Linked DNA regions of Diceros bicornis minor. The main gene of each other region encodes a partner of the protein of the gene in region 2 in a complex. Links are inferred from orthologs where the notes say so. Each region holds a gene or a part of one and is shown on either strand. Other genes may lie near its edges.

Evidence for each region.
Region 1: TCTN1 (region 2) and B9D2 share a complex: the UniProt entries of both Homo sapiens proteins name them as parts of the tectonic-like complex. The link is inferred for Diceros bicornis minor from reciprocal best matches to the Homo sapiens genes TCTN1 and B9D2.
Region 3: TCTN1 (region 2) and CEP290 share a complex: the UniProt entries of both Homo sapiens proteins name them as parts of the tectonic-like complex. The link is inferred for Diceros bicornis minor from reciprocal best matches to the Homo sapiens genes TCTN1 and CEP290.

The regions. Positions count from the first base shown.
Region 1 is NC_080773.1:15,359,389-15,363,137, reverse strand, and holds the start of B9D2 (B9 domain-containing protein 2), read left to right. Parts: upstream 1-1,382; 5' UTR 1,383-1,520; exon of another isoform or gene 1,521-1,585; intron 1,586-2,003; 5' UTR 2,004-2,007; coding exon 2,008-2,095; intron 2,096-3,749. UniProt on the Homo sapiens protein: Component of the tectonic-like complex, a complex localized at the transition zone of primary cilia and acting as a barrier that prevents diffusion of transmembrane proteins between the cilia and plasma membranes.
Region 2 is NC_080774.1:9,094,922-9,098,670, forward strand, and holds the start of TCTN1 (tectonic-1), read left to right. Parts: upstream 1-1,281; 5' UTR 1,282-1,314; coding exon 1,315-1,534; intron 1,535-3,749. UniProt on the Homo sapiens protein: Component of the tectonic-like complex, a complex localized at the transition zone of primary cilia and acting as a barrier that prevents diffusion of transmembrane proteins between the cilia and plasma membranes.
Region 3 is NC_080764.1:33,002,017-33,005,765, forward strand, and holds the start of CEP290 (centrosomal protein of 290 kDa), read left to right. Parts: upstream 1-1,107; 5' UTR 1,108-1,581; intron 1,582-1,877; 5' UTR 1,878-1,902; coding exon 1,903-2,004; intron 2,005-2,155; coding exon 2,156-2,233; intron 2,234-3,320; coding exon 3,321-3,390; intron 3,391-3,691; coding exon 3,692-3,738; intron 3,739-3,749. UniProt on the Homo sapiens protein: Involved in early and late steps in cilia formation. Its association with CCP110 is required for inhibition of primary cilia formation by CCP110.

The DNA.
Region 1 (3,749 bases), on a different chromosome or scaffold from region 2:
CTACGCCACAGGGCCAGCCCCTGGGAACCTTTTTCTTAATCACTAATATCACCCAGTGGGGAAGAAACCAATTGAAGAAAAAATATTTAAGAAGGAGCATTGACAGGCCTTGATGACTTGTCGCATGTGGGAAGTGATGGAGTCTAGGAGGACACCCAGGCACAACTTCCATATTCCTTTGACACTGGGAGACGTGTATCCAAGAGAGGCAGGATAGCAGAAAGGTTGAGAACACAAGGTTTAAAGCAAGGTTTAAAGAGTCAGACAGAACTGTGATCGATTTGGCTAAGACAAAAGATTTTGCCTCAATTTCTTCATCTTAAATAAAGCCAATAATGTTACCTACCCTGCAAGGATTAAAGGAGACCATGCATGCAAAACGATCAGTTTACAGGGGCTGTCGCAGAGAAAGCACTCAATAAATGGTAGCTTTCAAATATATCTATTAGTGAAATATTATCCTATTAAATTATTTATATAAATATTATACTATTGAAATGTTGCCCCCTCCCTATAACTTTGAGCTGGTGACTCGAACTTTTGTGGTCCCGTTTTGCTAAAAAGTAGGAGAAAAAGTTCCCTTTGGACTCCTGGTCTGGGCTGGAGGAGTAACTAAGGGTCAACTGCACTTAGGGGGCGGGAAAGGCCCTGCTCAGGAAATCAGAACGTATCAGGGCCGCTGACAGTCTCCTTGCGCCCATTACATGGATGAGATAATGGAGACACAAAGGCGTGCAAGGCCACAAGATAAGACACTGGCAGAGTCTAGTCTTCAAGAACCGGATTTTCTGCAGAAAAAGGGGCCGCAGTTCCTCATTTCTCATACCCCTGCCCCCACACCCGCCTCCTTGCTCAGAGCCAGCAGTAACTGAACTGGGCAGTATTTCTGAGAAGGAAGTTGGATTTATCAGTCCTTGAGGAGCCTGGGGGAACTCTAAAAAAGGAAGGAAACCCCCCTCCCCAACTTCTCGAGTCTCTCTGAAAGAGGAAGGATCTTTTTTCCAGTTATGAGGCAGGGGGATGCACACAATGACCTGAGAAAGAGTCCCTCTTGTTCCTGGCTCAAGTCTCTGATTTGTGGTCCGGTTGGGAGAGAGTTTAGGGGAGCATAGGGCATCGACGTCTTCGCTTATTTTGTAAAGAGGGTTACTGGAAGAAACAGTTGGCGCTCAAACTTCCTCAGCCACACTCAAGATGGCAGCTGCCCGGCCACGCCCCAAAAGGCGGAACCGTGGGTCGTGGCTGGAGAGACACTTTTCCCAAAATGGAGACAGCGGGGGAGAGAAAACGTCCATCATAGCTTAGCCCCACCCTCGAGGACGGCTAGGGCCAATTAGCGACGCGCAGGGCGGGTGCAAGGCCAGGGGAAGAGGCTGCTGTTGCCCCAGCAACAAGCAGGGAGCCCGGAGGCGGGCGCGGCTCGGAGGGATCTCACTGCTTCAGATCTCTCACTGCTGGGAAAGTCCTGGGAGAGGGGCGAACCAGGCCTGGGAATTCAGCGCCCGCGGAGAGAGGGACAGGTCAGGCCCATGAACTCCAAGCCCCACTGCCGCTTTCGCCCCTCCTAACCGTTAAGCGCTCTGAGGTAGGAATAACGCATGCGCGGGCTTAGAGGCGGGGCTAAGGCGGCCATGCACTTAAGACGCATGCGCCTCATGGAGCTTGGGCGATCTGACGCGAGGGGGCGGGGCTTCTGTGCTTGTGGGCGGAGCCGTAGGCCCCTGGGGCGGGGCTTTCCGTCGTAATGAGCAAGAGGAAAAGGTTATTTTAAGGCAGGCAAAGTTAGACGCCAGCTTCTCAGCCCAGCTCCCCATATTTATCCGGGGCTCTCCTAGCGAGGCAGTTAGGATCATGGTTAAGACTGCTGCCTCAGTGGTTTGACGAAACTAGCTTGGAATCCTAGTACAGCCCCTTACTCCGTGGGGCTCAGTTTTCCCATCTGTCAGGTGGACATAATAATACCCGTATCTCAGAGGGCTGTGATTATATCTTTCCCCTCTCAGGGCCATGGCTGAGGTGCACGTGATCGGGCAGATCTTGGGTGCCACAGGTTTCTCGGAAAGTAGCCTCTTCTGCAAGTGGGGCGTCCACACAGGTATTCCGGGCCTGGTTCATTTCCCCACCAAGAGCCCCCTAGCCTAGATGCTCCACCCTCCTTCCTTGATGCCCTGACCATTCCCTGCTCTGCATCTTCCATTGGCTCTCAGGACTCCTAGCCTGACCACACTGTCCACGTGATTCTCAGGCTCCCTTCTTATTCCTTCCTATCCCATCTCTGGGGGCTCTGACTCCCACTCTCTGAACACACAGCCCCTAAAGATGGGGACTACAGGCTAGACCCCCCCACACACACACTTCCAATGCTCAAAACAGTAGACAGCCCTAACCCCACTGTTTGGACTTTGCTCCCTGTCTTAGGGGTGCCTTGGGTCCCTCTGGCATCTTAATTCTTTGCTTAACAGCCTCTACTTTATTGAGTTCTTACTGTAAAATGGAAGTTTTCATCCCAGATTTACACAGGAGAGGCCACCCTCCTGTATTCATAATTCTCTGTGGGAATGTAGGAACCCCATTCTGGCTGTCATACAAGTCCATCCACACAGCCCCTGGAGGGACCTCAGAGGCTCCAATTTTCATGCCTCCCCATCAAAGGCAGTATAGCATGGTGGTGCAGCATAATGGTTAGGGCCATAGGCTGCCAGATCTGGGCTCAAATACGAACCTATTCATTGGGGGACTTTGGACTTGACTGCCCTGAGCCTTCCCTTCCTTGTCTGATAATGAAGCTAACAGCAGCTAAGAGGCAGCAGAGTGTTGAGGTTAAGAGCACAGACTGCCTGGGTTCAAAACCAGCTGTGGCTTATTAATTATGTGACCTTGGGCATTGTCTTTGCCTCAATTTCCCTGTCTGTACTATAGGAATAATCACAATACTTACCTCATGGGGTTGTTGTGAGGACTAAGTGGACATCACCAGCACTTAGAAGAGGGCCTGGCTTAGTAAGTGCTCAGTGAGTGTCTGGCTCCTGTAACAATTGGGTGGGACTTATTTTTAAAGCCCAGGTATGCTGCTTGGCACAGGAACATGCCCGTGCTACGAGTGTGGCTATTGCCATTATCATGTCTTCAGGCCCCGGGTCCTTGGTGATTTCACTGGTGGGTAGGGTGCTGGTTGAGATTGCCTGGGAATTTGGGGTCCTCCAGCTGAGCCCAGTCAGACTTGGGTTCCAGTCCAGCTGTCCCGTCTTGGAGCCCCCGTTTCCTCTTCTGTAAAGTGGGAACGTTTGTCCTTCATAGGGATGTTGGGAAGTCTCGCATGTGAAGAACTAGACTCAGGGCCTGGCACTTTCCTTGCATGGCCCAGAAGGGAGCAGTAACTAACGTGATTTTTATTATTTCAGGGGGCTCTTGCGAGGTAGTTAATCTAGCAGAGAGCTCAGGGGCAGTCGGATAAAGGGATTGAACTCTGCAGTCAGACAGAGCTCAGTTTGAATCCAGCTCCACTGTGGGACCTAGGTGTGTGGTCCTGCTGTATCCCCAACGTGGAGAACAGTGCTTGGCACACAGTAGGTGTTCAATGAATGTTCATGGAATGAATGGCCAAGTGACTTTCCTTCTTAGAGTCGGTTTCTTTACCTGTAAAATGAGGATTGGATTAGCACCTGCCTCCTAGGATCACTTATTTGTCCAACAAACATTTGTTGAGCACCTTCTGTATACCAAGATCTGGGTTGGAGGTCCAGGGGATC
Region 2 (3,749 bases):
GATTTGGTCCAACAGCCTAAAATTTCAAAACAGAAAACAGGACAAAGTGATTCACTGATATTAAGGAATACAAAAGAAAGTAGAGGCCTGGAAGATAAGAGAAGGTTTAAAAAATCAACAACAATCAGCCCTGGATTTAGAAGTTATGAAAGTTTGGGGAAAAAAAAAAAATATATTTTAAGGGAAGTGTTGTATCAGTTATTAAAAGTGGTCCAAAATTTCAATCAGACACTAAAGCAATCCTTTGGAGAAAAAAAATTTGGAAATATCTGTATTACACATTTGAGTGATCCAATTACACTTTAAAACATTTTCTCTGGAATGCCACAGGAAGATGCTAAAGATGTCACTTTGATGATTTAGCTTTGCTATATAAATTTAATAAATTAGGTATATATACTGTGGAAATGTGTTTCTTGAATAGATACCACGATATGTTCAAGTATTTTAACATCTACTTCTGAATTGTAAGGAGATGAACCGTCAAAGGTATAGCCAACATCCCTGAGTTGGAGTACCTTTATAAATAAGCCAGTTTAGAATGGAAGTGCTTCCCTAAGTCTTGTGGTCTCCGTGTCATTTTGTAGAGTTACAGATTTGCTTTGTTTTTTCTTTTTAAGATGTATAAATCATTCTACTTATTTTTTGTCAATGTTTTTGTGGGTAAAAAAGTTGTGTTCATTTGTCCCGCTTATCACAACACGGTGAACAGAAGTTGTCTGGCGATCTCCTGCGATGCATCTAAAACAAAAAAGGCAAAGCCAGCGTGGACAGGGTGTGGGAGACAGAAAATTCAAGGATGATGATGTGATCTCTGTGCTCCCGCAAAAGACCCTACTTAGTAGCTTTAGGAGAGCGGTTCCCAAATTTCTGTCCCCCGACTGTTGCGTCAAGACATTTGTTAAAAATATCAATTCCTGGACCCTGCTGTAGACTTATTGAATCAGAATCCCCTGAGATGTAATCTGCAAATCCGCACTTTTTAAACAAGCGCCGGAGGCCGCGGGGAAGCACAACACAATTTCACAAGCCGCTCGTCTCCACTGGACTCACACCGCCCCTCGTGTCCAGCCTCTCCCAGGCCCCGCCCCCTCCCGCCTCCCGCCTCCCGCCTCTCCCGCCTCCCGCCTCTCCCGCCTCCCGCCTCTCCCGCCTCCCGCCTCTCCCGCCCGCCTCTCCCAGGCCCCGCCCTCAGCTCCTGCCGTCTCGCGAGGTCTCGAGGGACTCTTCCCGTAATGCCCCGCGCCCGGCTGCCGCGGTTGCTTGGCAACGTCTGGTCCCCCTGGTGCTGGCTGCTCCGGGTTCGGCCAGGGGATGGGGCCGCGGGATCTCCCGCCGCTGTTGCTCGTGCTCCTGGACTGCTGGGCCTCTGGGAGCGCCCAGGCCGGGGCCACCTCCGCGGTGACGACGGAGGGCCTCAACTCTACGGAGGCAGCCCTGATGACTCTCCGACCTGCCTTGTCGCCTAGGCCTCCCGAGACCCCCAGGGCCCCTCGGCCCTCCTCTGGCCCCAGGCCCACCCCGGTTACGGACGGTGGGTACCAAGTGCCAACTCCTGGGGATCCACAGTAATCTAACCTGGAGGGAGGGTAGCCCGAGTGAGGATGTAATAATGATAGTTAACGTTTATTGAACACTTACTGTGTGCAGGCATTGCTAAGTGTTTCATAGGCATTCATTCTCTCAACAACCCTGCGAGGTAGATATTATTATCCCTGGCATACAGATGAGAAAACTGAGGCTCAGAGAGTGTAAGTGGGACAATATCAGATCTTTGAAAGTACTTGCAATGGTCCTGGACAACGTTAATGCTAAAAGTAATAATGAATGAATCCTTGCAGATTTGCAGCAGAAGACAAAATCGAAAGTTTCTAGACAGTTGTGGAAATGAAATGCATAGGATGCATCAGACTTTTCACTTACCAAAAAAAGAGATGCCAGAAGTCTAGCTTACAAAATGTGACTGGGTCAAGGCCCTTGCCTATTGACTTGAATTATGAAAACTCAGGATTCCTCCTGTGTTGAGTTGGAAGGGGAAGCTGTAGGGTAAGGGGTTATGCCCACTTCTTAGGATTCATCTTTAGGGATAATTAACATATTTCTCGGAAGGTGATCTAATCCTGGAGTTACACATTTAGTGAATATTTTATAATCTGATTTGAGATTGATGACTTCAGGAGATGTCTGTCTGTGACCCTGAGATTGAGTGCAAAATTTTGTGAATATGCATTTTTCTGGGGTGAGCGTTCATAGCAATCAGCAGTTTCTCAAAAGGATTTGTGATCTTAAAAATTCTAAGTCCACTGACTGTAACCTCAATAGGTATGCAGTATTTTTTATCCCTTCTTATGAGAAAAAGATCTTTTCTTTTTTTTAAAGATTCTATTTATTTATTTTCCCCCCAAAGCCCCAGTAGATAGTTGTATGTCACAGCTGCACATCCTTCTAGTTGCTGTATGTGGAACACGGCCTCAGCATGGCCGGAGAAGTGGTGCGTCGGTGCGCACCCGGGATCCGAACCCGAGCCCCCAGCAGCGGAGCGTGTGCACTTAACCGCTAAGCCACGGGGCCGGCACTCTTTTCTTAAATTGAGTATGGCTCAATATTAGTAAATAGAAAAGTCATCATTGGCTGACGTCCTGAGCTGTAGGACTTAACTTCAGTTACGGAACCATTATTTCTCCAGAGGGCCTCCTTTATAAATTATGAGTAGTCTGTAAGAAAAAGTACAGAGAAATATATTTTCTGTTTCAATATATGTAAACAAAACTCTGTTTTGTATTTAAACTGTTCATTTGATGAATTAGTAGGGAAGTTAAATCAATGATAAATTGGGACGGAATACGGCAGTGTAGTCAAGGCCCAAAATTCTCTAAGGTTTTTGGACTGTGTTGTCTTTTATCCATGTCAGTATTCATCTGTTAATCCACTTTCTCCCCAGAATGAAGCTATTCTTGAATCATCATTATTAGGGCATGTGTTCAGCGCTTTTTTTCCAGTATAGGGGATGAATTTTCACTTCATCTTTTTAAAGGAGCCCTCCTTAGACCTGTGAAAGTAATGATAATAAACGACAGCTGGCATTTATTAACTGCTTACTGTGTAGCAGGCACTGTGCTAAGCATTTCATCTGTGATGTATCTCATTTAATTCTCATAACAATCCTATGATGTGGGCTATCCCCATTTTTCAGGCAGGTGAATTACCTGCCTGATTTTAGCTCACACTCCTGGTACGTGTTGGAGCAGGAGGCTGGCTCTGCGTGGAGAACTGGACAGCCCTTTGTAGAATGGGTTACAGATGGAAGAGAAGAGTGATAACTTTCGTCTTGCATCAGCTCTGTTTCTGAGTGCCCTGCTCTGTGAGCCGGGCGTGCGGACATTGAAAGGTGTGGCAAAGCAGCTGAGTGCTACTTAGACCCTGCAAGTGCCCAACAGATACTTGTTGGCTGATTAAGTGCACTCGTATCCTGGATAGAGACCTTTTTTTCCCCTAAGTGGAGTTATTAAACACTATTGCTTTGTCCTTAGTAGTCTTATAGCTACCTACAAGGGTTTTAAGTTTGGAAAACAAATCAAGATTATAATTTTAAATGCATAAGACAGGGAGCCCGAACACTCTCTTTATTTTTTACTTTAGTGTGCGTTATTTTACTAAGCACATAGAGGAGTCCTTGGCTAGAGAGAAGCACGTAAACTTTTGTGTCTCAGACTAACAAAAGATTGTGTATTTATTGACAGAACCTTCCC
Region 3 (3,749 bases), on a different chromosome or scaffold from region 2:
AATTATAGTAAAAAAAAAAAAAAAAAGATAAAGATGAGAGGCACTGGTCCAAACAGTTGAAAATGTCATTTAGATTTCAAGTCTATAGCTTAAGTTACCTAGCGGCGTATCATACTCCAGAATGAGAGCAGTGGGATAAGCAAAACTTGCACAAATAAGAGCTGTAAACACCTGAGAAGGCGCTTTCATAGAAGAGCACCCTCGGTAACCAAGCAAGTGACAGCTGCAGGACTGGTGGGTACTGAAGCCCCTTCTCTCTCCACCCCCAGCAGTGGCCCCGACAAGTTCTAACCTCTCCTCTCTAGAGCCTTCACTCTAGACACACAGCTCCTCAACCTTCAAGTCCTTCCACCCGCGACGGTGATGGCGCTACAGGCAAGGCGGGCGGGGTCGGAGGATGCACTGCCCTCCTCTCAATTCCTCACTCGCCCCCAAACTATGATCTCGGCCGCGCGGCCCCCACTCCACTGTACACAGACAGGTTCTGATACCAAAGAGGGGTAAAACTTTTCTGTCTTCTTACAGAGGACACCCCCCGGGGCGTCGCTTGCAAAGGCCTAAGCAGAAGGCGGGGTCTTCCCACCTCTCCATTCTCGGGCCAGGCCCTTCCGCCCCGATGGCGGGAGCGTCTCCAAATCAGGACCGCTCCCCTCAACTCCTCCCCCGCCGCTGACCGACAGCTCGACCTCACCTGGGAGCGGCTCCACGAGAGGACGGCTCAGGGAAACCTCAAGAAGAGCGGTCCAGAGAACGACGCCACCGCAGGCACACTCATGGTCTACCTCGTTCACAGCAGACGCGCCTCAGCCACCGCGCCTCCGCCACCGCGCCTCCCGCCGCCGGCTGGTTCCCCCGCCGCCCCGGTACGGTCGCAGCCTCTCGCATTGCACGCCGGGAACGGCCTACCTCCACTTCTCATTGACTTCAGTTCCCAGGATGCACAAGCCTCCAAGCAGAACTGCACTCTGGGATTTGGAGTCCTCATCCCCAAGACTTCTCCTTGTCCTTTTCACAGAGTCCGGGAAACCCGCTGGGGAATCTAAACGTAAAGCATCACCCATAGTCGTGAAATGTAGGCTCCCTGGCATCCGGGGCCTTGTTCCAGCCTTGGCTGGGTGGGGAATGGTGTCGCCTAGCAGCCGCCGCCGCTATTCCTCGCTCAGGACCAGTTGGCGGGAGCCAGTGTCCGGTTGGCACTGCGCTGGGGAGCGGTCAGGCGTGGCGGCGGGGCCGTGCTTGGTGGGTGCGGTAGATGAAGGGCCGCCTCTGGTTGCCAGGTTTGGCTTAGGTGCCTGGATCCTAGTGAGCATGAGCAGCGGCTGTCTTCTTACGCGGGTTCTTTAAGCTTCAGGGCCCATCTGCAGCAAAGCCCCGCTTCCCCGCCTCTTAGCCTTTTTGGTCAGCAATCCATCTGCCTTCTCCTCGCTTCAGCCCTGGTTTCCCCGGCCCAATTGCACTCATTTCAATCGTTTATTTCCTCACTTTTTTACGCCCAGTTCCTGCTTCTCCGAATCAGGGGTCGGTTTCAGCCTGCCGAGCACCTCCGCGGTTGGCACCATTAGATGTTCGCGTGCCTTGGTGGTAAGGGGGCATGAAGGAGGGGACTCAGAATCTTAGTTCTGACCAAGATTAGTTTTAACAAAGAAGCCGTCGTAGTTTGTTTAGCCGATACAATATCTGATGGTTTGTGCCAACTGCTATACTTGTGATCAAGGTTATTTTACCCGCTTATCTGTTATACAATTAAGGAGGCATAGCTCTTTGCTGACACCATAGAGAGTTAGAACAATGTAATGTGTAAAAACTGTAAATTGCTGTGAAAACATTAATGCTGTTTACCTTGAAAATGCTAATACCCACCTACCTTGTTACCGCAGGTAAAGCACAGTGAAAGAATTCAAGATGCCACCTAATATAAACTGGAAAGAAATAATAAAAGTTGATCCAGATGACCTGCCTCGTCAAGAAGAATTGGCAGATAATTTATTGATTTCCTTATCCAAGGTGCTTAATTGATAAATAATATGTAAATATATACATACAACTATGATTCATCCAAGTTGTCCCTTTAATCACTGAGTGGTACAATTGGAAGAGTTCTTATATTTTGCTTAAGTGTTATAAATATATAATAGTTGTTTTTCTGTTTACTTAGGTGGAAGTAAATGAGCTAAAAAAAGAAAGTCAAGAAAATGTGATACACCTTTTCAGAATTACTCAGTCACTAATGAAGGTTTGTATGCAGTAGGTTTTAATAACAGCTTTGACTATTAGAGAAGGTTTAAGAATCTGTTACTTACTTAAGTAACTTAAGTAAGTTAATTTCTATAAAAGTACTTTGTAATATCTAAATCACCACTAAAAAATGAGGTATTTTCAAATGTGGATTGAGAATTTTAGTGTGCAAAACATGGCTAGTTTCTGCTCTAAAGTTCCTAAAAGAATATGTGAGGGAAACAGATGGATATGTTTAAAAATAACATAGGGAGGTCCTATGTTAATTAAGTTAACATAATCCTGAGGTAGAAGTGAAAAATGCAGACGATTATTATAGGGATTTATTAGGAGGGGAAGAGATTTAGATGTGAGAAGACCTCATGAAGGTTAAAGACTGATGAGTAGTTTTAGGTAAGTGGAAAGCAGTGGTAAAATATTAAGGAGATTCTAGAGCTGGAGGTTACCATAAATAAAAACTGGAAATAGAAAATGTGTATTCTTTCCATTTGAGGAGACAAGTGCAGACACTTTGTGGCAGGCTGTAGAGGAAACAAATGTTGCCTCTACGGAGGCTGTCAAAGGCCTTGCAGGTGTATTTTACGCTGTCAGCAATGAGGAGCCATTACAAGTTTTTGAGCCACGCTTGATAGGTACAAAAATATGCCTTGGGAAGGCTAAACTAGGTATGGTAAACTAAACTATGGAGGGTAAACTAGGCTAAATAGGACAAATTGAAGGAAATTAAAGCTGTTTAGCCATAATGTTATAAAGGAGGTTAGACAAAAAATTATGGACTAGAAGAATCACAAGTAGAATAGAAAAAAAGGGATAGTGGAAAACATTACAAAGAGCAAAGTGGCAATACTGGATATAAGACTTGAGGGAAAAAGAAGAATCAAAGATGTTTCAAACTGTTAGGAATCTAAAAATTATAGCCTTAAGTAAGAAAATCATCTATTCATTCAACAGCTATTTACTGAATGTCTGTGTATGCCCGGCATTCTGAGCGCTAAGTTTTGGGATAGCAAATAAAATCCTGTTTTGGGTGCTTACATTCTAGTGTAAAGGCGTATTGAAATAAATTTTGTGTTTTTAATGTTTAGATGAAAGCTCAAGAAGTAGAGCTGGCTTTGGAAGAGGTTGAAAAAGCTGGAGAAGAGCAAGCAAAATTTGGTAAGTGCTATGGAAAGTTAATTATGATGCTAAATAGTGGATTCCATTTGTTCTCTAAGCAACAGAGAATTAGCTTTAATACATTCTATAAAATGTGTAGACTCAATTTATTTTGAAAGATATTCTAGAACTCCTATTCCATAGATCAGGTATAAGATAGTTATTTTCTCTTCTATTACCTTATTATTACAATCATGATGGAATCTTTAAAAAGAATTTATTTTATTATTTTATTGAAATTTATTTAGAAGTTTGTCTTGAGATAAATTGACCAATTGAAACATTTGTCTTTTTTTAATAGAAAATCAATTAAAAACTAAAGTAATGAAACTGGAAAATGAACTAGAGGTATGTCCTTT